Linked DNA regions of Oryctolagus cuniculus. The protein of the gene in region 2 purifies or fractionates together with the protein of the main gene of each other region. This does not show direct contact. Links are inferred from orthologs where the notes say so. Each region holds a gene or a part of one and is shown on either strand. Other genes may lie near its edges.

The links.
Region 1: the proteins of MED26 (region 2) and POLR2B purify together in Homo sapiens (affinity purification with mass spectrometry; 3 studies listed by BioGRID and IntAct, with this or other methods). This does not show direct contact. The link is inferred for Oryctolagus cuniculus from reciprocal best matches to the Homo sapiens genes MED26 and POLR2B.

What each region holds. Positions count from the first base shown.
Region 1 is NC_091439.1:107,678,434-107,694,130, forward strand, and holds the start of POLR2B (DNA-directed RNA polymerase II subunit RPB2), read right to left. Parts: upstream 9,112-15,697; 5' UTR 8,941-9,111; coding exon 8,922-8,940; intron 8,535-8,921; exon of another isoform or gene 8,336-8,534; intron 4,445-8,335; coding exon 4,372-4,444; intron 1-4,371. Other genes in the region: NOA1 (nitric oxide-associated protein 1), read left to right, coding at 9,810-10,884, 11,542-11,706, 12,306-12,511. UniProt on the Homo sapiens protein: Catalytic core component of RNA polymerase II (Pol II), a DNA-dependent RNA polymerase which synthesizes mRNA precursors and many functional non-coding RNAs using the four ribonucleoside triphosphates as substrates.
Region 2 is NC_091447.1:64,929,299-64,943,548, forward strand, and holds MED26 (mediator of RNA polymerase II transcription subunit 26), read right to left. Parts: upstream 12,436-14,250; 5' UTR 9,746-12,435; coding exon 9,539-9,745; intron 7,326-9,538; coding exon 7,251-7,325; intron 7,015-7,250; coding exon 5,362-7,014; 3' UTR 4,524-5,361; downstream 1-4,523. Other genes in the region: SLC35E1 (solute carrier family 35 member E1), read right to left, coding at 115-240, 858-995, 2,342-2,412, 2,544-2,958. UniProt on the Homo sapiens protein: Component of the Mediator complex, a coactivator involved in the regulated transcription of nearly all RNA polymerase II-dependent genes.

The DNA.
Region 1 (15,697 bases), on a different chromosome or scaffold from region 2:
TTTGAAACTTTTTTTGAAAAAATGTCAGGAGACATCTAAAGAAAAAGGATAGCTAAAGATAACAAGAACTCTAGTCTGAATGAAATGGTGATATCAATTACTAAAATAGAAAATGCAGAACATTATTGGAGCTAGTATTATGGCGTTAGTATGTTAGGCCACCACCTGCAACATCAGCATCCTATATGGTACCAGCTTGCATCCCAGCTCCTCCACTTTCAATCCAGCTCCATGGTTATGGCCTGGGAAAGCAACAACAGCCCAACTGCTTGGGCCCCAGCCACCTACACTGGAGACCTGGATAAAGCTCCTGGCTTCAGCCTGGCCCAACTTTGGCTGCTGCAGCCACCTGGGGAATGAACCAGTGGATGGAAGATCAGTATCTCTCTCTGTAAATTTTTCAAATACGTAAACCTTTTTGAAAAAAAAAAAGTGTTAATTTTAAGTTTAGCTTTATTTTGAGCATGCTGAAGGTGAGATGAGTGTCCATCACTTCAAATGACTGGTGCTAGAAGTGGAGCCCAGGAAAGTCATCAGAGCTGGCAGTGCAGAGGCAACAGAAGCCACATCTTAAGAGAAGGACGGATCATCCAAGAGCAGACTTTACTGCTACAAGACATGGTCAGTTGTTCAGGTGAGGAATGAGCAAGGAGACAGATTGAAGCGCAAGAAGATTCTCAGCGGATCACTCCCCACTACCGCCAGAACAGTTGCACGGCTGGCCATCCCAGGGCTCGAAGAGCTGTGAGCTCTAGCGCAACCCTAAGGACGGGAATATCTCATCACCCCTAGCAGTAGGAACTGCCTCATCACCACAGCTCCAGGGCTCAGCTCCTCTAGACTGTGACCCTGCCATCTTGTACCTAGGAGACTTTCTTAGCTTCTACTTCCCTCTCCCTATTAACCGCTGACACCCTTCCCCCCCAACCATCAACATTCTGGGACAATTTACACAGCCCAGCTAATCAACAGCCAATTTTTGGCATTACCAGGTCACCTCATAGGTCACCAGCAGGCCTACAAATTGTCTAGCTGTGGACCAGGGCCCACTCTGATCCATTCAAATATGGCCACCAACATTAGAGGTCAGGTCCCATGGTAAAGAACACAGCATATATCCATCCTTATGTAAGATAAAGCCTAAAGAATGGCTGTGGCAATTTCTTTCAGAAGGGATTGTGAACAAGAAATAAAATTTTCATGATCATTTGGGTCAGGAATTGATACATAAACACATGAAAGGCACTGCCTGTAAAATAAACAGCAAGAGTTTTTTACACACAACTTAAGATGAAAAATCTTCACAGAACTTATATACAAGTTTCATTACCCCAAGAAGCTGAACCACAGCTACTTTCTGCCAAACCATTGAAACAGCATTGCAATAGAATACTATCTGTAAACATCTAAGCTACATAACTTTTACATTTATGATATCTACTATTAGGCTTATTTCACCAGAAATCATCTTACTTTTTTAAAAAAGATTTATTTGTTAGAATTACAGACAGAGAGATCCACCTTCCATCTGCTGGTTCACTCCCTAAATGGCTGCAATGACCGGAGCTGGGCCGATCTAAAGTCAGGAACCAGGAGCCAGGAGCTTCCTCAGAATCTCCTATGTGGGTGCAGCATCCTATCCACTTGGGCCATCTGCTGCTGCTTTCCCAGGCACACTAGCAGGGAGCTGGATCAGAAGTACAGCAGCCAGGACTCAAACTGGAGCCCAACATGGAATGCCAGCACTACAGACAGCGGCTTAATGCATTATGCCACAGTGCCGAAACCAGGAATCATCTTACCTCAGTTACTTGTGATGTTAAGTAATAGCACATTCACACAACTATGTGAAGATTACTTGATATAAGGGATGGGCTTTCAGCACAGCAGTTCAGTCACTGCTTAGGACGCCTGTGTCCCATATTGGCACACCCGGTTTGAATTTAGCTCTTCCACTTCTGACTCAGCTTCCTGCTAATGCACACCCTGAGGCAGCAGACGGGTCCAGCAGATGAGTCCTCACTACTCATGTGGGAGACTTGGAATTGAGTTCCAGGCTCCTTGCTTTGGCATGGCCCAGCCCTACCTATTGCAAGGATTTAGGGAATGAATCAGTGGTCGGAAGATCTCTCTGTCTCTCCGTGTATATGTGTGTGTGCATTTCAATCTTACAAATAAAATAACTTTTTTAAAAAAAGATCATGGCCGGCGCCGTGGCTCAATAGGCTAATCTTAATCCTCCACCTTGCGGCGCCGGCACACCGGGTTCTAGTCCCGGTAGGGCGCCGGATTCTGTCCCGGTTGCCCCTCTTCCAGGCCAGCTCTCTGCTATGGCCTGGGACTGCAGTGGAGGATGGCCCAAGTACTTGGGCTCTGCTCCCGCATGGGAGACCAGAAGAAGCACCTGGCTCCTGGCTTCGGATAGGCACGATACGCCGGACCGCGGCGCGCTGGCCGCAGTGGCCATTGGAGGCTGAACCAACGGCAAAAAGGAGGACCTTTCTCTGTCTCTCTCTCTCCCTGTCCACTCTGCCTGTCAAAAAAAAAAAAAAAAAAAAAAATCATTTGGGGAACCAGCATTGTAGAACAGCAAGCTGACCTGCCATCTGCAATGCCAGCATCCCACATGGGCAGCAGTCTGAGTCCCAGGTATTCTGTTCCACTTTCAATCCAGCTCCCTACTGATGTGTCTAGAAAGCAAAGGAAGATGACCCAAGTACTTGGGCACCTGCACTTGCACAGGATACTGGATGAAGCTCCTGGCTTCAGCCTGGACAAGCCCCAAGCATTGTGGCCATTTGGGGAGTAGATGGAAGATTTCTGTCTCTCCCTCTCTCTGTAACTCTTTCAAATACACTGAGAAAAAAAAAAAACAATCATTTGGGACCAGTGTTGTAGCATAGTAGGTTAAGTCATTGCCCGCAATGCCAGCAAAAAACTGTCAGCCTGAATCCCGGCTGCTCCACTTCTGATCCAGCTCCCTGCTAATGTGCCTGGGAAGGCAGCGGAGGATGGCCCAATAACTTGGGCCCCTACCAACCACGTCACGGACACCCAGATGGAGTTCCTGGCTCCTGGCTACAGCAAGGCCCAGCTCCTGGCTGTTGCAGGCATTTGCAAAGTGAACCAGCAGGTAGAGGATCTCTTTTTGTCTAATTCTGCCTTTCAAATAAATACATAAATCTTTAAAAGGGAGTGGGGCAGTGTTGTGGTACAGCAGGTAAAGTGGCCACCTGCAACAACAGCATCTCATATGGGTGCTGGTTCATGTTCTGGCTGCTCCACTTCCAATCCAGCTCCCTATTCATGGCTTGGGAAACAGCAGAAGATGGCCCAGGTGCTTGGGCCCCTGCATCCACAAGGGAAATCCGGAAGAAGCTCCTGGCTCCTGGCCAGCCTGGCCCAGCATTGGCTGTTGCAGCCATCTGGGGAGTGAACCAGCAGATGGAAGATCAGTTGATCTCTCTATGTAACTCCTTCAAAAAATTAAATAAATCTTAAAAAAAAAAAAAAAAAAAAGGCATTCAATTATACTCCAGACACGTGTGGCAGAACGTCAAAAGCATGTGTTTTTTAAAGATTTATTTATTTATTTCAAAGTCAGAGTTACACAGAGGGAAAGAGACAGACAGGGACAGAGAGTGGCAGAGGGAAAGAGAGATCTGCTATCTGCTGGTTCACCCCTAAAATGGCTGCAATGCCAAGGATGGGCCAGGCCAAAGCCAGGACCATGAACTTCATCCAGGTCTCCCACATGGGCAGCAGGGGCCCAGGCACTCCAGTCATCTTCTGCTGCATTTCCCAGGCCATTAGCAAGAATGCCAGATAGGAAGTCTAGCAGCCAAAACACAAACTGGAGCCTACATGGGGCAGGAACTGTGGAACAGTCGGTTAATCTGCCTGCAGTGCTGGCATCCCATATGGGTGTTGGTTCTAGTCCTGGCTGCTCCTCTTCCGATCCAGCTCTCTGCTATGGCCTGGGAAAGCAGTGGAAGATGGCCCAAGTCCTTGGGCCCCTGCACCTGCATGGGAGACCTGGCTCTTGGCTTCAGATCAGCTCAGCTCCAGCCACTGCTGTTACCCACATGGGAGACCCAGATGGAGTTCCTGGCTCCTAGTTTCAGCCTGGCCCAGCACCTGCTATCACAGGCATTTGGGAAGTAGACAAACAAATGAAAGATATCTCTCTCTCTCTCTCTCTCTCTCGCTGTCTCTCCCTCTCTCTCCCTCTCTCCAACACGCCTTCAATTAAAAAAAAAAAACTTAAAAAAAGATTTATGCAGCATATTCATATGGAATTTCTATTTATCAAGATCAGAATAAGCAGGAAATCCCCTAATCTGTTGCAGTGCCTTTGGTCTAAAAGGTTACCTGATGACAATCCAGCACGCTTCTTGCCACAAATCTGGAGTGATTTCATCATCATCCTCATCATATTGCATATCTGCAAAAACAGAAACAGTGACTTCAAGTGCAGTAAGATTCCATTCAGAAGAGCTTGCACCTATACTGAAAGCAGAAACAAATCTACTCTCTAACGAATAAAAAGCAATTCTCTTACCCCACTTTTCTAAAATTTCAGTAAATTAATAAAATGCCTATATCACATAAATATTTTTTTCCAACATACAAAGAGGTTTTATTATAAAGGTTCAGTGCAAACTGTGTGGCTCTGTAAGTTTTCCATTTTCTCGAGAAAGTCCATAAAGTTTTCATTTATAGCTAATCAAGATGATAACTAGTAGCAAGCTCATAGTCCTCCAATCAACAAGCTCCTTGGGGACTGGAGTCAGACAGCAGGGTCATGGGGTAGAGGTAGAAAAGCTTCCAACATCGGGTCAAAACCCTAAAACAGTGGTCTGTTATAGCAACATATCGTTATGCAGACAGACATGACTGCAGGGCTCATCTTTATCTGCCATCCCACATGTTCATCTACAAAGTGATCTTGATAAGCCAACTATCACAACAGAGTGGTCTGTGCATGCACCCCTTGAATCTGGGTGGATTTTTTACTCTCCTGTGACCAAAAGAAGTGATGATGCATGATTTTAGAAGCTAGATCAGAAAAAGCAATACAGGGGCCGGTGCTGTGGTACAGCAGGTTAGCGCCCTGGCCTGAAGCGCTAGCATCCTACATGGGCGCTGGTTCTAGTCCCGGCTGCTCCACTTCCAATCCAGCTCTCTGCTATGGCCTGGGATAGCGGCAGAAGATGGCCCGAGTGCTTGGGCCCCTGTACCCACGTGGGAGACCCAGAAGAAGCTCCTGGCTCCTGGCTTCGGATCATCCCAGCTCCGGCTGTTGCGGCCAACTGGGGAGTGAACCAGTGGATGGAAGACCTCTCTCTCTGCCTCTCCTCTCTCTGTGTAACTCTCTCAAGTAAAAATAAATAAATAATCTTTAAAAAAAAAGAAAAGAAAAGAAAAGAAAAAGCAATACAGCTTCCACCCTGTTTGCTACAACACTTGTTTCTGGAACCCTGAGCTGCCAATAAAAAGTCCTACTACCACTCTCAGGCTGCAACTCTGTGAGAAAGCCCAAACCTTAAGGAACGGATACTTACAGATGTTACAGATGCTCTAATAGCAATCCCAGGCCTCGAGTCCTCCCAGGCCAGGTGCCAAACACGTGAATAAACACTCCAGATCCTCCAGTCCCCAGCCTTCATCCTCCCCAGACCACACACACTGAGGTGACAAGTCCTGCATACCAGGCCGTGTCTAAATTCCCAGTCCACAGCATCCATAAATATAGTAATTTTTAAAACATTTATTTGAAAGTCAGAGTTACAGAGAGAGAGGAAGACAGAGACAGATCTTCACTCCTCAGATGACCACAAGGGCCAACACTGGGCCTAAAAGCTGAGCTGGGCAGAGACCTCATGTTACGTGAACAGGAGTAAACCAGGCAAAGAAGGTAAGGCTAGGAAGAGTAGAGAAAGTATGAGGGGCACCAAGACACAGCTAAGAGTAGCAGGTTCTCATGTTCTGCAGCTCAGAGCATGACTACCACTCAAAACAGATCAGGGGCTGGGGCTGTGCCGTAGCAGGTAAAGCTACCGCCTGCAGTCCCGGCATCCTATATGGGCGCTGGTTCGAGACCCGGCTGCTCCACTTCCAATCCAGCTCTCTGCTATGGCCTGGGAAAGCAGTAGAAGATGGCCCAAGTCCTTGGACCCCTGCACCTGCCTGGAAGACTCAGAAGAAGCTCCAGCCATTGCAGCCATCTAGGGAGTGAACCATTGGATGGAAGACCTCTCTCTCTGCCTCTCCTTCTCTCTCTGTGTAACTCTTTCAAGTGAATAAATAAATCTTTTTTAAAAATTATATATTGTATACTACATAAAGAACTCAACGAGGGGCAGGTGTGTGGCCTGGGGTAAGATGCTGGTTAGAACACCTGCATCCTACATCAGAGTACCTGGGCTCAGTCCCTGGCCCTGACCCCTAACTCCAGCTTCCTACTAATGCACATCCTGGAAGGCAGCAGTGATGGCTCAACTGACTGAGTTAATGTCACTCATGTAGAAAGTCTATCACTGGGCCGGCGCCGCCGTGGCTCACTAGGCTAATCCTCCGCCTTGCGGCGCCGGCACACCGGGTTCTAGTCCTGGTCGGGGCGCCGGATTCTGTCCCAGTTGCCCCTCCTCCAGACCAGCTCTCTGCTGTGGCCAGGGAGTGCAGTGGAGGATGGCCCAAGTCCTTGGGCCCTGCACCCCATGGGAGACCAGGAGAAGCACCTGGCTCCTGCCATTGGATCAGCGCGGTGCGCCGGCCGCAGCGCGCCAGCCGCGGCAGCCATTGGAGGGTGAACCATCGGCAAAAGGTAGACCTTTCTCTCTGTCTCTCTCACGGTCCACTCTGCCTGTTAAAAAAAAAAAAAAAATTAAATAAACAGGACAGAGGATCTGATAGGTTCTAAGCATAAGGACATGGAAATGCTAACTGCTTGACTATCAGTTTACACTACATATATGTGTTGAAACACTGCTTGGCACTGCACACAATGTACAAATATTATGTGTTAATCAAAATACTTTTAAATAAAAATACATGACGCCCAGGTTTCTGGTTCCCACAAAAGAGAAGGGTGGTACCATGCTCTAAGACAGACAACCCAGAAGCCGATGGCTTTGGAAGTGCAGATGATGATGGGAGCGGGGGTGCATAAAAAACATGGTGAGCTCAGCCTGGGCAGTGACAATTTACAGAAGCCCAGAGACACTTCAGTTAGAGACGCAGGACATCTGAGCTGGGAATGTGTGCGTATGTATTGAGACGTCATCCACATACACAGTAACTGAAGCCACGGAAAACGCGAACAGCAGGAGTGAATGAGAAGGGACAAAGTCTGATAGGTGTAAGAATCAAGTGACGGTGCTAAGGCTGAGGAGATGGGCTGCCAAAAGGAACTCACCCATGATGCTAAATACCGCAGGGCCTGCCTGAGGCTTACACAGTGCTACCGGCTGTATCAGTGGGAAGGGCATCTTAATGAAGCAGCACTGAGATCAGATTAGAATGTGCTGAAAACCTGAGAGGCCACAAACTCTTCTGAGAACCCCGGTCGCCCATGGAAGGAGAAAGGTCAGATATTCCCAGGAAAGAAACAACTGAGCAGAGTTTAACTTCTTTGCAGGTGCCAAGAGAGATCTGACACTTTCACATGGCAACATCCGAAAGGAGCAGCCTAATTGATGAGGGCGTATCTAACAGACTTCAGAACAGGCAGGAATGGAACATGGACCACTCTTCTCTTCCACAGGTACTTTATACGTTGCTAATGAGAATGTAAATTCGCAGTTAATAGCACAGTGGTCACTTGGCACCATCCTGCAAAATGTTAAATGAATATACCGTTTGACCTGACAATTCTCTATTTAGCGATTTTTTTTTTAATATTTTTTATTTACTTAAAAGGCAGTTCCAGAAAGAGAAAGGGCTTCCATCCGCTGGTTCACTCCCCCAATGGCTGCAGCAGCCGGAGCTGGGCAGGCCCGGGGCCAGGAGCCTCTTACGGGTCTCCCGCGCGGATGCAGGAGCCCAGGCACTGGGCCGTCCTCCACTGCCCTCCCAGGAAAAGACGAGAATGATGCAAATGCCCATCCCTAAGAGACTGGCTGAGTCGCACTACATCTAAACAAGCGAGCAGTGACGATGGACTCCACACACTGGCAGGAAAGCCCACTACATAATACTATGTAAGAAATAGAAATACAGGAGAGCACGAATGGTGCTTTTTGTCTGAAAATCGGGGAACCACACAATCCCATTTACGCTCACTCACACGTACGTAAAGAAACCTTGGAGCAGGAGAATCTGTACCAGCAGCTACCTGCGTGGACGCGGTTCAAACCGGACAGCTGGTGGGTCCGATGAGCCCCGGCGCTGAGACGCTAAGCCTGCGCTTCTGCTTCCTCCGAGAGGCAGCGGAGGCGAGCGGGTGGGATGCCAGGGGGGCTACGGGACTGGGAGCCAGAACACCTCTCTGGCGGCCGCGCGTCCCTCTGGGGCGCAGTCAGTTCCAAGGACACCTTCGAGACAATTCCCCGAGGTTTAGGACTGCACGGAGGAGGGCCACCCGCGGCCGCCGTGCTCCCAGGGCCCAGCACACAACCTAACGGATGGCCAGCGCCACTCCGTCCATCGGTGGCCCGGGGACCCGAGGACCGTCGGGACGCCCCCGAGCCGGAACAACGCCATCTGCCTACGGTTCCGCACGCCACTCCACCACGGGACGAACACAGCCGGCCAGGAGCCTGCACGCGCGCATCCCCCGCGCCGCCACTTCCCGCACGCCCAGCTCGGACCGCGGCCCGGGGGTGGCGGGGGTACACCGCGGGGGTCTCCGGGCGGCGGACGCAAAGCCGTCCAGCTCCCCCATTTTCCCGCCGCGGAGTCTGCGTTGCATGGTCACCTACCCTCGTCCGCGTCGTACATGTTGGCAAACGGTCCAGGAGATCCTAACCCTCAAAAAGAAAAACCACTGAGACAGAAAACCGCGTAGCAGCCGCCACAGGGCCGCAGGCAGAGACGAAGCAACTTCCGGTTCCGGTGTTCCCACAATTCTCTGCGTCCCCGAAGGCCCGCCCCACCGTCGCCGAGGTGGGATCTGCGCCTGCGCCAGTTGAAGCATAGGGCGGGCTGGGCTCGGGGTCGCTCGGGCGCGGCTGAGCCGGGGCGCGACCAGTCCGAGGCGGAGGGGCGGCTCTACAGCTGCTTCACGTTGAACAAACCCCGCCTGAAAAAAATCCAAGTGAATTTGTTAGCGGTTCTGGCCGTGGCGTGAGCTCGCAGGTTTAAGGCTGTATTGTTTGCACTCCAAAGACCAGGAAGCCACAAAACTAAAAGGGATTAAGTGCGACTTGTGCTGGCCGTAGCGCCTTGAGAAAGCTTGAAGAAAGATTTATTTATTTATTTGAGAGGCAGATTTACAACGAGGCAGAGAGGTCCTCCGACCGCTAGTTCACTCCCCCAGGTGGCCGCAACAACCGCGGAGCTGAAGCCAGGAACTTCCTCCCGGTCCCCGACGTGGGTGCAGGGGCCTCAAGGACTTGGGCCATCTTCTGCTGCCTTCCCGAGGCCCCAGCAGAGAGCCGGGTTGCAAGTGCAGCAGCCGGGACTCGAACCTGTGCCCTCAAGGGAGGCTGATACCGCGGCTTTCCCGCTACGCTTTCATCGCGATAACTCGCGGGATCTCGAGGTGGAAGGAAGCCGCACCTCCGGGGTTTGGGGCAGAACGGGCGCCTGGGGCCCCACTGCGCGTGCTCGGTGGTGGCTCCGCCCCCTCGCGGCGGGCCGCGATCCCCATGCTGCCCGCACGCCTAGCGGGGAGGCTGCTGGGCCCCGTGGTGCGGTGGTCCGCGCCTGCGGTGCGGCTGCTGCGGACGGGATGCGCGGCCGCCGCCGCCTCCCAGCCCCCGTCGGGCCTGCGGCGGGCGCTCCCTCAAGGCCCCGCCGCGCCCGGGGACGACACCGAGGAGCGTTTCCTGTTCCCCGAGTACACCCCGGAGCCGGAGCCCCCGCCGACGCCTGAGGAGCTGCTGCGGGCGCTGCGGGAGCGGGAGCAGGAGCAGGAGGAGCAGGCGCGGCGCCGGGCGGAGCGGCGGCAGGCGCGGGCCAGCCTCCGCGCGCCCCCGGCCGCGGGCCGCCCGGACCCGGCGGTGCCGCCCAGCGGCCTGCCCTGCTCGGGCTGCGGGGCGGAGCTCCACTGCCGGGACCCCGGCGTGCCCGGCTACCTGCCCAGCGAGAAGTTCGCCCGCGCCGCGCAGGACGGCCAGCTGGCGCGCGCCGTGTGCCAGCGCTGCTGGCTGCTGGTGCACCACCGGCGCGCCCTGCGGCTGCGCGTGAGCCGCGCGCAGTACCTGCAGCAGGTGAGCGCGGCGCTGCGGCGGCCCGGGCCCGCGCTGGTGCTCTACCTGCTGGACCTGCTGGACCTGCCCGACCCGCTGCTGCGCCACCTCCCCGCGCTGGTGGGCCCCAAGCAGCTGATCGTGCTGGGGAACAAGGTGGACCTGCTGCCGCAGGACGCGCCTGACTACCGGCGGCGGCTCCGCCAGCGGCTGTGGGACGAGTGCGTGCGCGCCGGGCTGCTGCCGGCGCCGGGCCACCGAGGGCCGCAGCCCGGCGCCGGCGGGGACGAGGAGCAGAGCGCGTCCCGCACGGTGGTCAGGGACGTGCGGCTGGTCAGCGCCAAGACCGGCTATGGGGTGGAGGAGCTGATCTCGGCGCTGCAGCGCGCCTGGCGCTACCGCGGCGACGTCTACCTGGTGGGCGCCACCAACGCCGGCAAGTCCACGCTGTTCAACACGCTGCTGGAGTCCGACTACTGCACCGCCAAGGGCGCCGAGGCCATCGACAAGGCCACCATCTCGCCGTGGCCGGGTGAGTGCGAGAAGCGGGCGCACCGTGCCCGCCGCCGGGCGCCTTCCCTGGAACCTTGCAGCCCTGCGGGGGTCTCGCGCCTCCCTGGCCGGAACAGAGCCGAAGCCCCTGCGCTCTGGCCGTGTCCCTGGAGCTGGCTTCTTCGTAGGGTCCTCTGGCTTTGACTCCCGGCGTGAGGCCAGCGGGTGCTCCACGCACAACACGTGAATAACCCGTAGTGCAGAGCGTGCGTGGGGAAGAAAGGGCGGGTGGTGACTTGGTAAGAAACTTGCGTGCTTGGAAAATGGGTCCCTGTGTCTGTGACCCTGTTTGTGCTGGACTTGGGAGAGCGCACTGCGACAGCCCTGTGTCCCCTTGAAGCCAGACTTCACCCTTGCTTAGTGAGCTGGTCTTCTGCCTTGCGCTGGAGTTGAATTCTCCGCAGTTGCTTTTTACCTGGTGATGTTGAAAACAGCAATCAGACATGCACACGGATTTTGGATTCAAGTCCTGGTTAAGCTTGCGAGCCAATCGGCTTATTTACGACTCCTCCGTGAAGTGGGACTATTTCTAGGGGGCTAGCGTGGAGGTTGCGTGAGAGAAAGCAGCGTACCCCACAACAGCGCGTATCCTCAGAAGCGCTCATTCCTTCCCCTTATTCCCTTCCCCGTGTTCCAGGTACTACGTTAAACCTTCTCAAGTTCCCCATCTGCAACCCAACTCCCTACAGAATGTTTGAAAGACAAAAAAGACTTAAAGAGGACGCGGCCAAAGCTGAAGAGGAGCTCAGTGAGCAGGAACAGAATCGGCTCCGGCTCCTGAAAAGACGTGGATACGTAGTGGGTAAGCGTCCTGTGGGGAAAGCCCTTGTTGGTCCCATGCCGGAATTCTCCCCGAAATTCAGGGGCCTGGGGCCAGCCGCTTGTTGCGGGGAGAGGCTGCCTTGCTTGGTCTCTTTAAAGGCAAGGCTGCCTCCATCTGGAACCCCAGACCGATACTCGTGGTAAATGTTGGTGACTCCGTGCAGCGGCTGCCCTGGGGACAGGCGTTTCATGCAGTAGTTACGACGGCCATGTCCCCTATCAGAATGCCTCTGTTCAACTCCTGTGTGCAAGCTCGCGCTCCGGCTTCCCGGGAGGCAGCAGGTGATGTCCTGGGTATTTGGGTCCCTGCCACCCTCCTGGGAGACCCAGCCTGAGTTCCCGGCTTGGCTGCTGCGCTTCCATCTGGCCCGGCTGTTGAGTTCATTTAGGAAGTGAATCAGCAGGAAGATGATTTCTCGGTCTGTTTTCCAAATAGAATTAGTAAGTTTGCTTTTAATTTGTTCCTACAAATCAAAGAGACCTTGTCTCACTTCTGTACACCTAAGTTAGCCTTCGTAAGTTGTCTGGAGTCAAAAGCTTTGACGGACTGACTGATGACCTCGGTATAATGTGTTCTAGGAAGAGTTGGAAGAACATTCTTGTATTCAAAGGAGCAGAAGGGTGAAGCTGCCTTTGAGTTTGATGCGGATTCACTGGCCTTTGACATGGAAAATGAACCTGTGCTGACTCCAGACAAATCCACCAAGCGAGTGGAATTGACTCCACAGGACGTGAAAGATGCCCACTGGTTCTATGACACCCCTGGGATTTCAAAAGAAAATTGTGTATGTATCTGGTCTCTTCCTCCACACTTACTTTTTTTTTTTTATTTTAATATTTACTTATTTGAAAGGCAGAGTTACAGACACAGAGAGAGAAACAGAGAGAGATCCTCCATGGGCTGGTTCACTCCCCAGATGGCCGCCACAGCCAGAGCTGGGCCGGTCTGAAGCCAGGAGCCAGGAGCTTCCTCTGGGTCTCTGGGTTCAGAGCCCGAGCACCTGGGCCATCCTCTGCTGCCTTTTCAGGCACATCAGCAGGAAGCTGGATCGGAAGTGGAGCAGCTGGGACTCAAACGGCACCCATAGGGCATGCCCGCGTCACAGGCGGCGGCTTTACCAGCTACCCCACAGCCCTGGCCCCCACGTTTACTTTCATTAGCACAGGCGCTGTGTTTCGGGCAGAGAGCAGGAGGAGAGATGCACTTGCACTTGCGATTCAGTTCTGGTTCACTGGTAAAACAGGCCAGGGAGGCATCTGTCCTCTAGTTCTCCCTTCGTTTGGGGACCTCGTGGCTGACAACCCACTTGTGGTGCTGTACAGACTCCTAGCTGTTGAGGCTGACAGGCACCACTGCAGTGCAGCCCGCTCGTCCGTGCCTGAGTTCCTAACACGCTGTAGCCCTCATAAGGCCTTCTGGCTGAACGCAAGGCAGGAGTCACTCACGGGGAGCAGGCGCAGTGTCCCCTCAGCTCCCAAGGTAAACACTGCTCTTCAGCTGAGCTGAGCCGTCACCCAGTAACTGGTACCCTTTGGTCCTCGGGGCTGCATGCACCAACTTCCCTGGGCCTGGAAATACTTGGAAGTCTCTCTCTTCCTCCTGTGTCCCTGCCTCTTCTCTTTCACTATTTCATCCAACAAACATCGACTGTCCGGCGGCGTAATCCAGAACATGAGACGGGCAGCGCAGCAGCACAGGCTCGCCACAGAATTGTTGTTTGTTTGGTTTTTTTTTTTTTCTTAAGATTTTATTTATTTATTTGAGAGGTAGGATTACAAAGAGAAAGGTCTTCCATCCACTGGTTCACTCCCCAAATGACCACAACGGCTAGAGCTGAGCCGATCTGAAGCCAGGAGCTTCTTCCAGGTCTCCCATGTGGGCACAGGGGCCCAAGGACTTGGACCATGTTCCACTGCTTTCCCAGGCCATTAGCAGAGAGCTGGATCGGAAAAGGAGCAGCCGGGGCTCGAACCCCAGGCTGTATGGGATGCTGGTGCTGTAGGCAGAGGCTTAACCGGCCCCCAGGCCCACACTTTATTTTTAATTTTATTTATTGATTTTTAGGACAGTTGCAGGATCTCACGGGTCATTTGAATTTTTGTCTTGTTCATTTCACCCCATACCTGACTCTTACGTGTTCATTCGGTCTCACAGCTGCTTCTCTTACTTGTAGTTTTGGTCTCTGTCCAGGTCATTGATGGACTCAGGTGTGCGGCCACGATAGGCTGTCACGCAGTCCATCCGCCGCTTCCTCTGCAGCTGGTGCCTGAGCAGTCCCCGTCTCCTCCTGACGTCCGTATCTCCCTGTGAGACAGCACAGCTTTCTTGGGTACTCTTCTTGCCTTTGCCTCACCAGCGTCACTTCCAGTTTCACTGTCAGATGCATTTTTTTTCGTGCCCCTGTTATACATGCTGCAGACTTTTTCTTTCTGCATGGTTGCCCTCCTGGAAACACACCTGGGGCTCAGTCTCTTTTTGCCCAGCAGTAAGTGCCTGGACGGCTGCTTCAGGATATCCCATCGCTTCAGTGCCAACTCCTCCTTCCCTTTCAGCCTGTTAGCCCAGGCATAGCAGTTGCTTTAGTCACGAACCTTGCTGGGGGCCCCAGTGCTGTGGCGCAGCAGGCTAAGCCTCCACCTACAGCTCTGGCATCCCATATGGGCGCCGGTTCCTGTCCCGGCTGCTCCTCTTCTGATCCAGCTCTCTGCTATGGCCTGGGAAAGCAGTAGAAGATGGCCCAAGTGCTTGGGCCCCTGCACCCGTGTGGGAGATCCAGAGGAAGCTCCTGGCTCCTGGCTCCGGATCTGCGCAGCTCCAGCTGTTGCAGCCATCTGGGGAGTGAACACTGCATGGAAGGCATTTCTCTGTCTCTCTTCTTCTCAAATAAGTTAAATATTTTTTTTAAAGGGCCTGTTGAGAAATCTTTCGCAACATATTCTAGCCAACAGAATGACAGCTTCAAGTTTTTAGATATAAAACCACTCAGCACTGGCAGTTTTATTTCTGGGTCAGTTTACAGACAAACTTTACATGCGTTTGATGACGTAGACCACCATTCCTCAAGCTGTTCTCACAAAGAACTCGAGTAAGAAAGTTTTGGTGCTACAAGTGGCTTACACAGTGCCTTTTCAAACAAATAATGAGAAAAATTTATAGCCGTCTTATTTTTTTTTATAAGCTTCTCTATCATATTTTTGTTTCCTCAGTTTTTTTCTAATTGATTTATTTATTTGAAAGGCACACAGAGCAGTCTTCCATTGGCTGGTTCACTCCCCAAATGCCTTTGATAGCCAGGCCTGGGCCAGGCCAAAGCTGAGAGCCGAGAACTCAGTCCGGGTCTCCCACCTGGGTGGCAAGGACCCGAGCCCTTGAGCCATCACTGCTGCTTCCCAGGAAGTTGGAATCTGTCCAGAGCAGGGCTGGGACAGGAACCCGGCATTCCATATGGAGTGCAGGTGTCTTAACCGCTGTGCCCAACACCCGCCCCTTGTTAGGCTTTTAGGAACCAAATTTACAGTTTTTTGTCTACTCTTAATCAGTTTGATTCCTTAAATCTTACCTGAATCTTGTAGTTCCTGTCTTCCCATTGCTGTTTTCTCCAGTCCTTTAGAAACTCTTCTTCATCCTTTAGAAGCCAGAAGATTTATCTATTTTCATCTTATTCGAAAGACAGAAGTCTTCCATCTGCTGGTTCATTCCCCCAAATCTGCAATAGGGAGGACTGGACCAGGCCCATGCCAGGAGTTTGGAACTCAGTCTGGGTCCTCCCACACTGGCGGCAGAACCCACACTGAAGCCATCACCTGCTCCTTGTATGTGAGTAAGAAGCTCATCGGAAGCAGAATAGTTGGGACTTGAACCAGCCACTTCAGTACGGGATACAGATGTCCCAAGTGGCAGCTGAGCCACCACCCCAGATGCCTGCCCTGAGATTAATTTAGACAGAGGATTACATAGAATATAAAGTCTG
Region 2 (14,250 bases):
GGAAGTGCACGCGTCCCGCTTCCTCCACCGCAGGTGGCAGCGAGGACAGAGGACCTCCGGGCCAGGCACAGCCCCTCCCCTTCAGGGCCCCTCCCCGGCGCGCCGGCCACTCACCAGGTCGCTGCTGACCAGGAAAGCAGAGAGGTCCACCAGGACCCAGGTGGGGATCATGAAGAAGACCGCGTGGCAGCCCAGGATGTTCAACAGGCGCAGGTGGTGGATTCGCGAATCCCTCAGCACCTGGGGAGGGACAAGGCCGCCTAGAGCCACGGCCACGGCCACGGCCCCCCGACACCCTTGCGTGAGCGGCGAGCCCAAGCCCGTGTGCGAAGGCGGGACCGGGAAGAGGAGGCAGCAGTGGGTGGTGCTAAGTGGCCGGGGCTCCACCTCCTCCCCACAGGAGACCCAAACTGAGCTCCAGGCTCCTGGCTCCAGCCTGGCCAGGGCCTGGAGCTCCATCCGGGTCTCCCGGGTGGGTGCAGGGACCCAAGCACTCGGGCCTTTGCTGCTGCCTCCCAGGGTGCGTGAGAGCAGGGGGCGGGAGCCGGTGCTCTGACATGGGACACCAGGGTCCCAGCCGTGCGTGGCTCCACCCGCTGTGCCGCGACGCCCAGCCCTGCACCGGGTCTCCCGGGTGGGCACTGCCGGGGCAGCCGCAGGTCAGAGCCCGACACCAAGCGGTGCTCGACACAGCGTCTGAGTCCGCGTGGAGACTCCCCTGCTTCCCACGTCGAGCCTATGCTCGCTTCGGGACGGGAGGACACGGCACTCAAGAGCAGACAGACAGGACGCCATATCTACTTGCCCGGGTCTCCGGCACCCCCTCCGCCGGGCAGCCCCCCGGGAATCCCGGATACCTTTTTGGAGAAGATGTTCTGAAGCGAGAAGCAGAGCGTGGCGGCGAGGGCGCTGACGAGCCCCCACACGTCAAAGGACAGCTCGGTGACGGTGGCCAGCAGGACGCCACTGATGATGGGGATGAGTGACAAGTACACCTGCAGGGGGCGGGTGGGCGCTGCTGAGCCCGGAGGACACGGCTGGGCAGGAGCTGTTGGCTCTCAGGGGAACCTGGGGAGCGGGCTTGTGTCCCAGGGCGCAGCCCCACCCCCATCGAGAGCCTCTGCCTCCTGCTGGGCCCTAACCTAACAGATGTCTCTGTCCGGGGCGTTTGGGGCTCTCCCAACGTATAGCTACCCCTGGCGGGGCACCTCAGCCGCTCAGCATTCATAGGCACCTCCTGGGACCCAGCACCCCCACCCTGCTCGGCCCAGGCGTCCCCCCAGAGCGCCGCCCACCCACCCACCCACTGTTCACTGCCTGCTAGGTCACTCCACGCCCGTGACCCCACGCACGACTTTAGGCTACACAGCAGGCACTCAATAGCTGGTGGCAGGGTATACAGTAGGTGTTCAACAGTGCTGGCTGGATGACTGACAGGGGGCCTTGCAGAAAGCGTGGGGCACTTGCAGGATGCACAGGGACCTCTGCCTCTGTCCCGGGGCCCACCTCGGGGTGGGGGGCACCCACCAAGGCCAGGGCCTGGGACACCAAACGCCAGCTCAGGACGGAGGCCACACCCCCGTCTACCTCACAGGTGAGTTATGACAACATGATCAGTAGCTGCCCGGCTCCGTGTGAGGTTCCCGGCTCTGTGCCCAAGCTGGGGTACGGTGCCCCACGCAGTGGGAAACCCGATAAATGTGACGCGGTGTTGGGTGATGCCGCCGCGGCACACTGCCCCCCCCCCCCAGTCACACCTGGTGTCACCCTGGAGCCCAGCGGGAGCACACGCAGCTCTTGCTGGGATGATTTTGCGAAAGAGGCACAGGGCCAGGGACCCCACGTGCACTTGAGGACGGCGGGCAGCGGGTGGGCAGGGCTGGCGCCGGCGGCAGCCACGGCCACAGACTCAGGGGCTGTGCCAGAAGCCACCTGCTCAGGTGCACCTCGGCTCCTTGGCCCGACCCCGGCCACCCACGGGGCCCGAAGACCCTGCAGGCATCAAACGCGGCCAGCCTGGCAGCTCGCTGACCACCCCGCCGTGCCTCGGGTCCCACCGGGGATGGGGGGGGCACCTGCTTGGGGCGTCCCATCAGGAGGGGACCAGGCCGCCAGCTACGTTGGCAGCGAATCAGAACAGCAAGACATTGCCCGGCTGCAGAGGGACCACCCAGGGCCACAGGCCCCTCCCCACGCCCCCCTGCCGCCAGCAGAGAAGCCATAAGAGGGCCGCGGGAGGCCCCGGCGCACCGACTTCCTTGTTTGACAGGAAGCCGGCGTGGCCCCGACCACGTCACCATCTGGGTCCCTCCCGAGCGGCCCCCACCTGCCCGCCCCTCACCTTGGTGCTCTGCTTCTCCTTCATGATGACCCGCGACAGCAGGACCACCCAGATGGGCATGGTGGCCTTGACTGCGGAGACAGAGCGGAGGGGCCCTCAGCCCGAGCCCCCAAGCACCCACCCAGCCGGGGGCAGGTGGGGGCGGCTCCCTGCACGCCCCGACCGCGGTGGTCGCCCCCGCCCCGCCCCCTGCCCCGGTCACCTGTGTGCGCGTAGGACACGGGCACCTTCCAGATGCTGACGTGCGCCGACACCGACGCGAAGTACTTGCCGAAGGCCAGCGGCAGCACGTAGCGCGGGTAGAATCGCGGCGGCAGCTGCGGCCCGGGCCCGGGGCCCGAGACGGGCGGCGCGGGAGGCACGCGCCAGGCGCGCAGCAGCGGCGGCAGCCCCGCGCACAGCGCCAGGATGTGGCACAGCGACACGGTCACCGGGAACGGGAAAGCGCTCAGGATCACCTTGTTGACCACGTTGCCGCCCGCGCTCAGCGCGTACCACAGCAAGCACAGCGCCGCCACGCGCGCGCCCTCGCGCGCCCCGCCGCCGCCGCCGCCGCCGCCCGCCGCGCCCGGGCCCCCCGAGCCCGCGCCGGGGCCCGCGCCCGACGCCGCCGCCATCCTGCCCGAGCGGCCGCCCCTTCCCGCCCGTCCGACGGCCCGACGCCGGGCGGAGGCGGGGCCGGGCGCGCCGGCCAGCGCCGCTCCCATTGGCCGCCGGCTCTCTGCGTCACTGGGACGCGCCGACGGACGCGCCAGCCACCACGTCTCGGGTGCAGGCCCCGCCTTGCTATTGGGATGCGCTACCGGAAGGGGCGGGGCGAGTCCCGGAAGCGGAAGGAAGTGGGGGTGCCGGCCTGCTTAGGAGTTGGACCTGCGCTGGCCTGGGTTTGCTTGCGGGGAGCAGGGGCTGGAGCCCGAGCGAGGTGGTCGAGCGGGAACGCGAGGACCCAGCCGCGTCGCCGTCACCTGTGAGTGAGGATGATGGAGCTCGCCGGCCGCCACTCGGCGGGTCATGGTTGTCCCCAGCCCTGTTCCTGATGGGCTGGCCGCGGCGGACCCCGGGGGCAAAGGGAAAAGACCTTTGGAGGAAAACAAGCTGGATTATGGAGAAAGACCTTTGAGCTAGATTATCGCCCCGCAGCGCGTCCCGCCGAATGCCAGGAGCGCTGTGCGGTAGGTGCCGGCGTCCCTATGTATTCGGACAGGCGGCAGTGCAGACCGGGAAGCGACCTGGCCCCGGGGGTTCCAGCGCTGTGCGAGAGGGGGTGGTGCCAGCGTTTCTTCCAAAAATCACGCGCTTCTCACTTGCGTCCCCTTACTGGGCACGCTCGTAGGACAGGGTCTTGTCTTACCCTGTGCTTGCATTTCAAAGGCAGGGGTCCTGCGGCTTCCTGGGTCCTCGGAGCCGAGCCGGGGGTGGTGGTCCCGCCAGGTGTGTCGGGGGCGGGGTGGGGGAGAAGGGAAAGCAGCGGCCTGTCCCAGAGCCCTGGTCTGCGGGAAGGAGACGGACCCTGCGCTCCGACCTGTGTCGCAGGTAGCACCTGCCGGCCACCGGAGCTGGCCAGGGTGAGCCCACTGTGCACGGAGTGAGAGCAGTGACCCTACTCCGCAGCGCGGCCGGGAGTCGCAGCCCACCCACCAACGGGCTTGCTGGTTTTTGAGAGGACTTGGATCATTTGGTTCTCGCACCTCCAGGGAGTGAGCCAGAGCGAGCCCACGGCTGGCAGGTGCAGGGCTCAGCCTCACCCTGCCCTCAAAGCCACTCGACCCCACTGCACCCTTGTTTTGGACAGGGCAGTGTGTGTCCAAGTCCCTGCTGGCTCTGGGCGGCTGCGGGACGTGGGGGAGACAGGGACAGGATGGCCCATCGGGGTGGTCTTATTACCCCTTTATAATGGAGGCAGGACAGCTGTTTCAGTGATCAGGGTACTAAGGCCAAAGGGCTGGGCCTCTTAGAACAACAAATATTTGGTGGTGGTGGTGCGGGCAGGGGGGAGGGGCCGAGGCCACTGGAACCCGGAGCTGCAGACGTGGCGCCTGTGGGGTCTCTCCAGAGCTGGCAGGTGGCCGCAGCCCAGCCTGCCGTCGGGCTGTGGGGCCCGGGCCCTCCCGGCTCGTCCAGAATCCAGGCAGGCGCTGTGTGGCTGTCCGAAGGCCCAAGTAGGAAACGATTCTCAGACGAGTTTGTGCAAATGGGTTTTTTATTTCCACATTTATATCACAAGGTGTCCACTTACTGGACCAAATAGCAAAGTTGCTCCCTTCTGCGTGAGGACGCAGAAGTCTGGGTTCTGTACATTCACTAAGGCTCCTTGTTTTTGCAAATCGCGTTTATGACGAGTAACCATAAGGCAAACGAATCTAAAGGAATGGTTATGAGTGTCAGCGCAGACGGCTCCTCGCCCGGCGGCACGGCGCGCACCCCAGTAGCACCCGCGGCGACATCTGTGTTGTTCTGGGGGGGACTCTAGGAAGGTGAACTCCCCAGGCGTGTGGGGGAGGGGCAGGGACGGGGAGGGCGGGTTTTGGCTGGTGGTCACATGGAAAATAAACGCGAGAGAACTGAAATTTTTTGCAGCATTTCTTTGAAAAACTGGGGATTTTGAACCGAAACCAGATCGAAATGGGTGGATGCTCGTGGAGTGTGGGCTAGACTGGTCGTCCACGTGGCCCGCCCGCGGCCCCTCCCCCCGGCTCCCAGACCCCAGAAGAGCGAGTGCGGGGCCGAGACGCGTGCTCCTGCTGCTCCCCCCAGCGCGGAGCCCTGCGCCCGCCTGCCTGCCTGCCTGCCTGCCTGGGTGCCCGGGTGGGGACTGACGCGTTCGCTCAAGTTCCGAACTCGCTTTGCCGTCCGTGCGCGCCGCCCTCCCTTCGCAATTTTGTTAGTAAACTGGTAGCAGCATTTCACAAAAGGAGGAGAGTCCCGGGAGGGGGGAAGGGGCGGAAGCCCGCGTGGCTCCTGCCCCCCACCCCCGCTCCCGCCCGCCGCGAGGTGGGAGTGCGCCCGGCGGCCGCGGGCGCTCAGTCCAGGCAGACGTAAGGCAGAACGTTCAAGCGCCCGTCGTCGCCGTGCGGGTCGAGCGATATGCACTGCGTCCAGTCATACCAGTTACCCTGTGTGTCCCGACACCCGTTCACCCCCGGCCACTGGCCGGCCTGGATTCTGTCGAGATCGTCCTGCGTGAGCTCCCGGCTCAGCCCCGGCAGCTCGGCGGGCGGGCTGTGCGGCAGCAGCACGTGCGGCCGCCGGGCCCCGAGCCGGCTCTGCTCCTGCTTCAGGTACTTGGACATGAAGTGGTGGGCGCCCGGCGTCTGCGTGCCGGAGGACAGCAGCAGGCTGCTCTGCCGGCTCAGGTACGACTGGATGATCTCGTTGCCCGACAGCTCCTTCCAGTTCGTCTGCTCAAAGGGGCTCTGGAGGCTGGCCTTGGCCTCGGGCGCGTCCGGCTCTGTCCTGGGCGGTTGCTCCGTGCGCGCAGGGCTGTCCGCCCGCACTGGCTCTTTCTGGGTCAGAGGTTTGATCTGTCTCGTCATGGGGTCAAAGGTGAGCTTCCGCTCTTTTAACCGCACGGGCCTCACGCCCGCCTCGGCCACCTGCCCGTCCAAGTTCACCGTGTAGTCGCGTGGCCGGTACCTTTTCTTCTTTTTGCTGTCCGAGCCCCCGGCGGCGGCAGCGTCGCTGTCCACCCTGGAGGAGTCTGGGGAGAAGCCGGCCGGGGGCAGCCCTGCCTTGCAGCCCGGCGCCGCCAGTCGATGGCGGCCCTCGGGCTGCTCCAGCCAGCGCACCGGGCTCTCGGCACTGGGCAGCAGCTCCAGCCGCCGCACGGGGGGCGTGGACGGCTGGGCCAGCGGGAGAGGTGAGGGCACCTGGGTGGCGTCGAGCGGCTGGAGCCGCGGCGAGGGGCTGGACACGGAGCCCTTGGGTGCATACGGGCTCCGCTGCCGGGCAAAGGAGCCCTCGTGCCGTGAGTTCCGGGGGCTGAAGGAGCAGCGCGCGGGCCCCCTGGGGTGGGGGGGCCCGGGGGTCTCGTCCACCCTGTCCAGCTGCTGCAGCACCGCTGCCTTAGTCTGCAGGCAGGGCCCGGGGGGCTGGCCCAGGCCCGGGGAGCTGGTGTGCGGCCGCACCGCGTGGACAGGGATCTTGCCGCTGTGCGTGTCATTCTCGGTGGGCTCCACACGGCCGCTCTCAGGGCCGTGCCCCCCGCCGCCGCCACCGCCACCGCCGCCACCGTCGGGGGGCCCAGGGAAGCTCTCTGGGCTCCCGCTGATCCCGTTGGTGGGGAGGGGGGACGAATTGGGGAGCAGGGGCTCGTGGCTGGCTTTGGAGACCTTGGCGGGCGGCCCGGGGTGGCCGAGGTCGCGCTGGTCCCCCCGGCGCTTCTGGCCGCCCAGTCTGTCCGGCCGCTGCCCGGGCAGCCGCTGGATGTCGTTGCGGCTCTTCAGCTCCTGGATGCTCTTGGGCGTGCCGGGCGGCCCCGCCTCCGGCCGGCAGTGGTGCGCGCCCCCGTTGGCCGAGCCCGCGGCCCCCGCCAGCCCGCGCAGCGCCGCCTCATTCTGGTGCGCGGGCTCGATGAGCTTCTGCCAGCTCCGCAGCAGCTTCTTGGCGCGCTTGGCGAGCTCCTCGTTGGTGGTCTTCTTGCGCACGTCGTTGATGAGCTTCCCGAGCCGCGTTTCCTGCAGAGACAGCAGCCACAGTGATGGGGACGGGACGCGCCTGGGGGCCAGGACCCGCCCCTCCCCCACTGGCCCAGTCTGCCAGCTCTGCAGACGAAAACCCACGGGAATTCCCGGTGCTCTGGGACAGGAGAGCTCCCTGGCGACTGTCGGAGGCGCTGACCAGCAGGCTGGGGGCTGTGGGTGGCGCACACCCCAGGGGCCCTCCCGCCCGCGTTCCTGCAGGGCCCACTCACCTCCAGTGCCTCTTTGGTAATGGGGTATTTCTCCAGGCTGGAGATGACTTCCAACACCGCCACCATGTTCCGGATCTGTGGGACAAGAACCAGCGCTCAGGCCCTGCCCTTGTCCCCTCGTCCGCGGCAGCCCTCGCCCCTGCCGCCCCTCCCGACATGCCCAGCTCCTGTCCTGGAGGTGAGCTCTGTTCTGTCACGCGATGGGGGCAGGAGCGAAGGACTTGCCCAATAAAATGCACAAAGCTTCACACTGCCTGACCAGAACGCACCGGGCAACTTGACTTACTTAAGGCCCCAGACACCAGAGCGTGCGCGTGCAGAACGCCACCACGTGGAGGGTGACGCCTGTCTGGGACAGTGAACACCTGGGCAGCAGTGAGGCCAACAAGGAGCCTGGGCGACAGGCAGGCAGCGCCCCTGGCAGCTCTGGAAGCCAACCGGGAGGGTGACCCGCAGCCCAGCTGGCAGAAATGCTATCTGCGGGTACCAGGAGGCTCCGGGGCACGCGGCTGCGGCGCCGTAGGGCTTTATCTGGCAGGTGCAGTGCCCCTCCATGACCTTGCCGTGGCCACGCCCGGTCCCCAGCACTCTCCGGGCATCACCGATGGTGACAGGCAGCCAGCGGCCGCGACCACACAGTGCAGGTGCCGCACACAGGCCATCTGGCACACAGTGCCCGCCCCAGGCAGAGAGGGTCGGGGGTTAGTGCAACAGCACTCGCGTCCGCCAAAGGTGGGCGGGACACACAGGTCAGCCGATAGGCAGACCCCAGGCTCTCAAACAGCAGGCGCCAAATCCCACCCCAGCCGCGTGGACCCAGGCCTGAATGGGCAAGCTCGCGCTGCTTCTCGGGGGACAGAGGCTGTTTCTCGGCAGTCAGGACACACAGGCACCTCTGGGAGCCCCCGTGGCAGTGGGCGTGGGAAGAGCACGGACCACGTGGGCGCCGGCTGGAAGCAGAACTTGGGCTTCTTAGAAAACATCGTGTAAGGCACAATTGCCGGGTCTGCACCAGAACACATCGAGCACTCCTACAGGGGGCGCCGTGTAGCCCATGTGAGTGCTGGTTCGCGTCCCGGCTGCTCCACTTCTGATCCAGCTCCCTGCTATGGCCCGGGAAAGCAGAGGAGGACGGCCCTAGTGCTGGGGCCCTGCAGCCACTCGGGGAGTGAACTCGTGGGTGGCTGTGTGTGTCTGCCTTTCAAATAAATTAACTTTAAAAAAATAAAACAAAATGCCACCAAAGCACCTTGGCTCTGCGCCCTGCTTTCTCGCTTGACTCCACAAGTTCAGGTCAAGCAGCCCTGGCTGGGCTCAGTGGCGCCCCCCAGCGGCAGGGATGCTATTTCATGTCGGGAGACACAGCGCGTCCCCACTTGCCACCACAAACAAGGCTTCGATGGATGCCTGTGTGAGGCACGACTTTGGGCCACTGGGAATCGTGGGGTGGTCTAGGCCCCGTGCACTGCCCAAGGGCAAGAGCGGGACAGGCAGGACTGTGGCACTGCTTTCCTGCTGCTCACCAATTAGAGCCTTAACCGGCGCACACCCGCACCGCGCGACCAGGCTCCGCAGCGTGCGGCCTCACTGGGCGAGGATCAGGGCGCCTGCCGGCAGGGGGTTCTCAGGACCCTCTTCCTGCTCCAAGTGCTGGCAGGCTCTGGGGTCCCCGACTTCCTGCTAGCTATCACCAGGTGTCACCCTCCTGAAGCCAGCGCGGGCCGCCACGTGCCCAGGACGAGGGACTGGGGTGGACTTCCCTGGCGGCCCGCGCATCCTGGCTCCTCTCACCTGCAGGCCCATCTCGACAGCCATCGCCTTCCTCCCCCAGCTTAAAGTTCCAGAGTGACCACAGAACAGTGACTACGGCCCCCACACCCCCAACTCTGCTGCCCGCCTGCCAATGGGCCAACCTCGCAGTGCATGGTTCACGGCCAGAGCCCAGCCTGAGGGGAGAGTGGGTAGGAAACAGCCCACCCTGTGCTTACCTGCAGGGGGCAGGGGCGGGGGTGGGGGTGGCTGGTCCCTGCAGGGCTCCTGGGCTTGCCACATGGCCTCGTCTCCACCCCACTGACCTCAGCCTGGTATATTTAGCGCCATGGGCCCCTACGTCCTCCTGAACCAGCAGTCCCCGGAGAGTGGGACGCTGCCCAGGCCCAGCGAGCCCAGCGGCAGGCACAGAGTGTCCTTGTCCTCGGGCAGACGCCGTCCTGCTGCCAGATGGGAGGGAGGAGGTGGAACACCTGGGCCACCCCCGGCTCTGGCACGAGCGGCCCCTTGGAGCTCACCGCCGAGCCAGCAGCCGGCCTAAGAGCCTCCTGCAGCTGCGTGGGCAGCAGGGACGAGGGGTGAAGGTCTGGGGCCTCGGGCCATGTCCTCCGTGTCCCTCTGCAGATCTCTCTACCCGCTGGGGAGGAGGCCAGGCTCCTGGGGTTCCACCTACAAAGCCAGGTCAGGTAGAGAGGGGTGCGTGCCCCTGAACACCAGCGGAACATTCCAGAGCAGTCAGGCCCCCACCCCCAGCAATGCAGTGCCGGCCCCCCACGAAGGCGGGCAGGACATGGAAGGTCCCTGATCCAACAGCCCTGCAGAGCCCAACACGGCCACTCTGTCCCAGGGGACACCGAGCACCCAGCCGTGCGGGGCCCTGAGGAGCAAGAGGCGAGCTGGCCACGGGAAACCTGCCTCGCCTACCACACCATACCCCTCCAGTGGCCTCCCACCGTCAGTGAAGGGAGCCTGTGGCTGACAGGGGCTCTGGCGGCCAGGACGGACCACCAGGGCAAGGCCGAGAGGGGACAGACACGGGGGGCGCGGGCTGGCTCCCACACACTCTGTCTCCCACCAGCCTTCGCTGCTGCCGCGCCCCAGGTCTCGGTCGCTCCCGGAGCCGTGGAGAAATGTGCCTGATCCGAATGCCAGCACAGGCGCTGCCCCCGAGGCAGCCTAAGGCGGCTCTGCCGACACCGCCCACGGCACACAGGGCGCTGGGGGCCCGCAGCTTCTTCCTGGGGATTCATTCCCAGGCCAAACACCTCCCCACCCTCTGCCAAGTGGCTTTCGGAGAAGGGAGGAGTTGGCAGGGACTGCGGCCTCTTAGGTTTGTCAGGGCTCCCCGAGCAGATGCACATCACTGCTTTCCTCGAAGCAGAGAAGCCGGTGCCGGCCCAGTTCCACCAAGGGGCCGTCCCGATCACCACCACCACCATGTTGGCCTGGAGTGGGAGGGGGCCCTGAGGTGCCCACCCCGAGGGCTCTCGGGCAGCAGTCCCAGGGGTGCTGTGGACTGTCACACGGGATCCTGGCCTGGAGAGCACTCGGGGCCGACAGGAAAGGACACACCGGCCAGCCCGTGTCTCTGGGGTCTCACAGACACGAGTGGGGACGCCTGGTCTTGGGCTGGAGGGTCAAGGCGGGCGGAACTAGCAGGGAGAGGTGACCTGCTATCTAGGTGAGGGTGGCCAGCCGGACGTGCGGCATGCATGCCGGGCGCTCGAGGCTCTCCCGTGCCCGCGCCACCGAGACCCAAGCGCAGGCGCGGACGCCCCAGGAGACCTGAGGCTTCCTGCACAGGTGTGGCCAGCACGTCTCACAGCCGACACGCGAAGGAAGCGGGGCCGGACCCACACAGGGGAGCGCCCACAGGGAGCCCGGGGCCCAGGAGCGCTGCCCCTCTCCCGGGGATGGGACGGCAGCAGAGCGGACTGGCTCCACGTGCTGTCCACCCAACAGGACGCGGAGCAGACTCCTCTCTGCTTTGATGTCTGAAATTTGCCGAAGATAACAAATGTATATACACGACAAATCACACCTGATCTGTTAACACCGGACGGAAGGTCTCGGCTCCAGACGACTGGCAGGCACTCAGGTGAGGGAGCACAGACCCGATGGCAGCCCCTCCGCGGCGTGTGGCTCCACCATCTGCCACCAGTGCGGGGAGGGGGCCGTGCTGGCCTAACCTCTGCTCCAAAGGACACGGCCCCTCCATCTGCTGAGCCCCCCGGAGCTCCTCGCCGGGCCTCCCGCAGGCTGCGGGTCTGCCGCCCGCCAGTCCCAGCACAGAAACGGCCTGCGTGCCTGAGCCAGAAGGCAGGGCTGAGCGCTCGGCCCGCGGCCTGACTCAAGCTTCTCCCTTAGCGGGAGCCCAGGATGGCTACGGCCACAGAGAGGGCAGGTGCACGGGCAGCCGAGACCAGCCAGCAGGCAGGAGGGGTGTTCCAGGTCTGTCACACGAGGGTGAGGACATGGGCAAAAGCCCTTGCCCGTCTCCATAGGTGGAGAGGACACCGCCGCACCCGTGCGGGAGCAGCCGGGAGCCAGGCACATGGTGCAGAGTCCACAGCTGGGTCACAGGCCGTGGCCGCTCTGCCTTGTGGCCACCCTCACGCCCCCAGGAGCCCAGACCGCCGTCCGAGTCGCACTGCCGCGGGGCTGTGAGGGCACCTGCAGCCCAGGCGGCCTCGGCAAAGCCGCACCTGGGGAAGCGGGGCTGCGCCTGCAGCGCCCGAGCAACGCTGCCCGCGGGGGATTTCCAGCCCTGAGCAGAAACGAGGAACTGAGACACGCGGCCGTGCAGTCGGAGAGGTCCCTCCGCTCCCAGCCCCGTCTCCACCTCGGGGAGGGCCCTCTCCGGCCTGCAGCTGGCGGTGTGCCACGCTCCCTCAGGCCTGAGCCCTGAGCCTGCCCCGGCCCGGCGGGCTGCACAGGAGCCCACATCTCTCAGTGCTCACCCCCACGCCCCCATTTCCAGGTAAAGAAACAGATGGCCCAAGGAGAAAGACCACCCAGCTAGAAGGCTGCACAGGCCCCGCCCGCCAGCCTGAAGGGACAGTGGCATCAGACTCTGACCCTCCCCAGCAGGAAATGCACAGTTTCCAGAACGTTCCTCGAAACCACAGGGCCACCTCCAGATGGCCCTGGTGCTGCTTCTGTGCTCTCCCCAGGCCGCACGGGGTCTCCAGCCCACACTCAACGCTGAGCCAAGGGCCCATCCACAGCCCTGGAGCCTGCTCCGCGCCGTGCTGGCCCGATGACTCCCCGTCTGGCCACCCTTCCAACGCCCCAGGCAGTGGGCAGTACCCCCCTCCCGGGGCTGCGGCCCCAAAGCACCTGCGCAAACGGGTTCCCCCGAATCTAACAGTGTGGACACTGCTGCTGGTTTATTATTAGTTTTAAAGGCAGAACTGGTCTAGACAGAATTTACAAAACCACTTACTCGCAAAGCTCTGGAAGTGCTCATCAGGGAGCAAGCCGTCGCTCCCATTCCACGCCCAAGCACAGCCTGCGTGGTGCTGGGCAGGAGGCCGCCTGCACAGGGCTGGGCATGCGCCGTGTGTGCGCGGACACGGGAAGGAAGCGGGCCCCGCTGGTGCACGCGTGTGTGCTCTGGTCCAGCCGTGCTCTTCAGCCCAAGTCTTCCTGCTTCTGACAAACCCCACGAGTCCCCAGGCAGCTCCCTCTGCTGCAAGTCACTGCAAGGAGGGGCGGCCCCTGCGGCCCCCACACAGCCCAGCGCTGCCCGCTCCCGCCTCCTCCACAGCCCCCCCCCCCCCCCCCGCCGCCCCGGGAGCCTCAAACCCACAGGGGCAGAGTCCCTCATTACGGCTTCCCAGAGGAAGAACAGCCCGGCTGGGGGGGGGGGGGGGGATATCCCAGTCACAGCCACCAAGTGACCACCTGCAAAAGCACTTCCTCACTGGCGGGCCGGCCTGCTGCCCCCGGAGTATCAGCCCTCTGGGCGGCCTGTCGGCGTCCCTGGGGTGACGACCCTGTGCACTGAGCTCCTGCCACGGGCAGCAACGGGCCGAGCACAAAATCGCACTTGGAACCTTGGTCGGGGACAGAAGCACCAGCCTGGGTGCGGGCAGCGGGCGGAGGCCTGGCTGCTCCCCACGAGTCGCCCAGAAATGGGAAGCTGCTGCGGCAGCGGTGGAGGTTCCCAGGCGTGCAAACGCACGGTGGCCCTGGGAGGAGAGCTACGGCAGGCCTCAGGTGGGAGCTCCGCTCAGCAGAGGGCGGCGGCTCTGCGCTCCGCAGCCACCGCCCGCCCCGACCCTCCTCGCTTCCCGCCCACTTCACGTCTGCACAGCTCCTCCCGGCCCAAGGCCCACTGGCTCACACAGCCCCTGGACTCAGAATCCTGATCTCGGCCCTCTGGGGGCAGAGCAGGTCTCAGAATGTCACCTGCAAGCTGCTTCCTTTCCGACGTGGACACAACTGGAGCGCGAGCAAGCGAGCGAGGCAGCCACACCGAGGCCTTCACCTCTGCCCTCTGTGAGGACACTGGGCCGGCGGCAACTCCCCCTCTCCCAGAAACCGCTAATAAGAATGCCAGCTACAGGAGATTGCACAGGACCTGGGGCCCGCGAGAGGGGACCCGCACACAGCGCTGAGCCGGCTCTACCGCGGAAGAGTTGCACCGAGCGGGAACAGGGACCAACCTCCGGGAGACACCAGGCACAACTGCTGAGGCTCGCCACGGCACCCTGGGCTGCCCCTTGAGAGAACGCACGCGAGGACCACGCAGTGCAGCCCTGCAAAGCTGCAGCACAGCACGGGGCCCCCACCCCGCCCCGGCCCCCAGCCCAGACACAGGGAAACCATGACGGCATGCGGACATCAGGAACGGAGCTGACCGCCAGGTGCAGGAGGGCCTCCGCCCCAGCCGCCATACGGCTGTGGGGCACTCCCCTGATGCCAGGCCCCCTGGTGAGGGCTGGGGTGCCGTGGCTGGTCCTGAGGTTGGCTCAGGGGCGGAAGCCACGGGTGGGCACCGCCGCCGCTGCAGCCCCTTCACAAGGACAGCTCGAGCAGGCAAGTCAGAATGACACGGCAAGAGGGCATGCCGCATGGGCTGGCTGGGGAGCCAGGCCGGAAGTCCCTGTGTTCATGTCACAGACGGGACTCTGAGCCCTGGTGAGGCTTGGCACTCTCTCCGGCAGGCTGCGCGACCGTGCTCCAGCCCACAAGGTGCCGCGAGGACGCGGGCAGCTCCGACCCT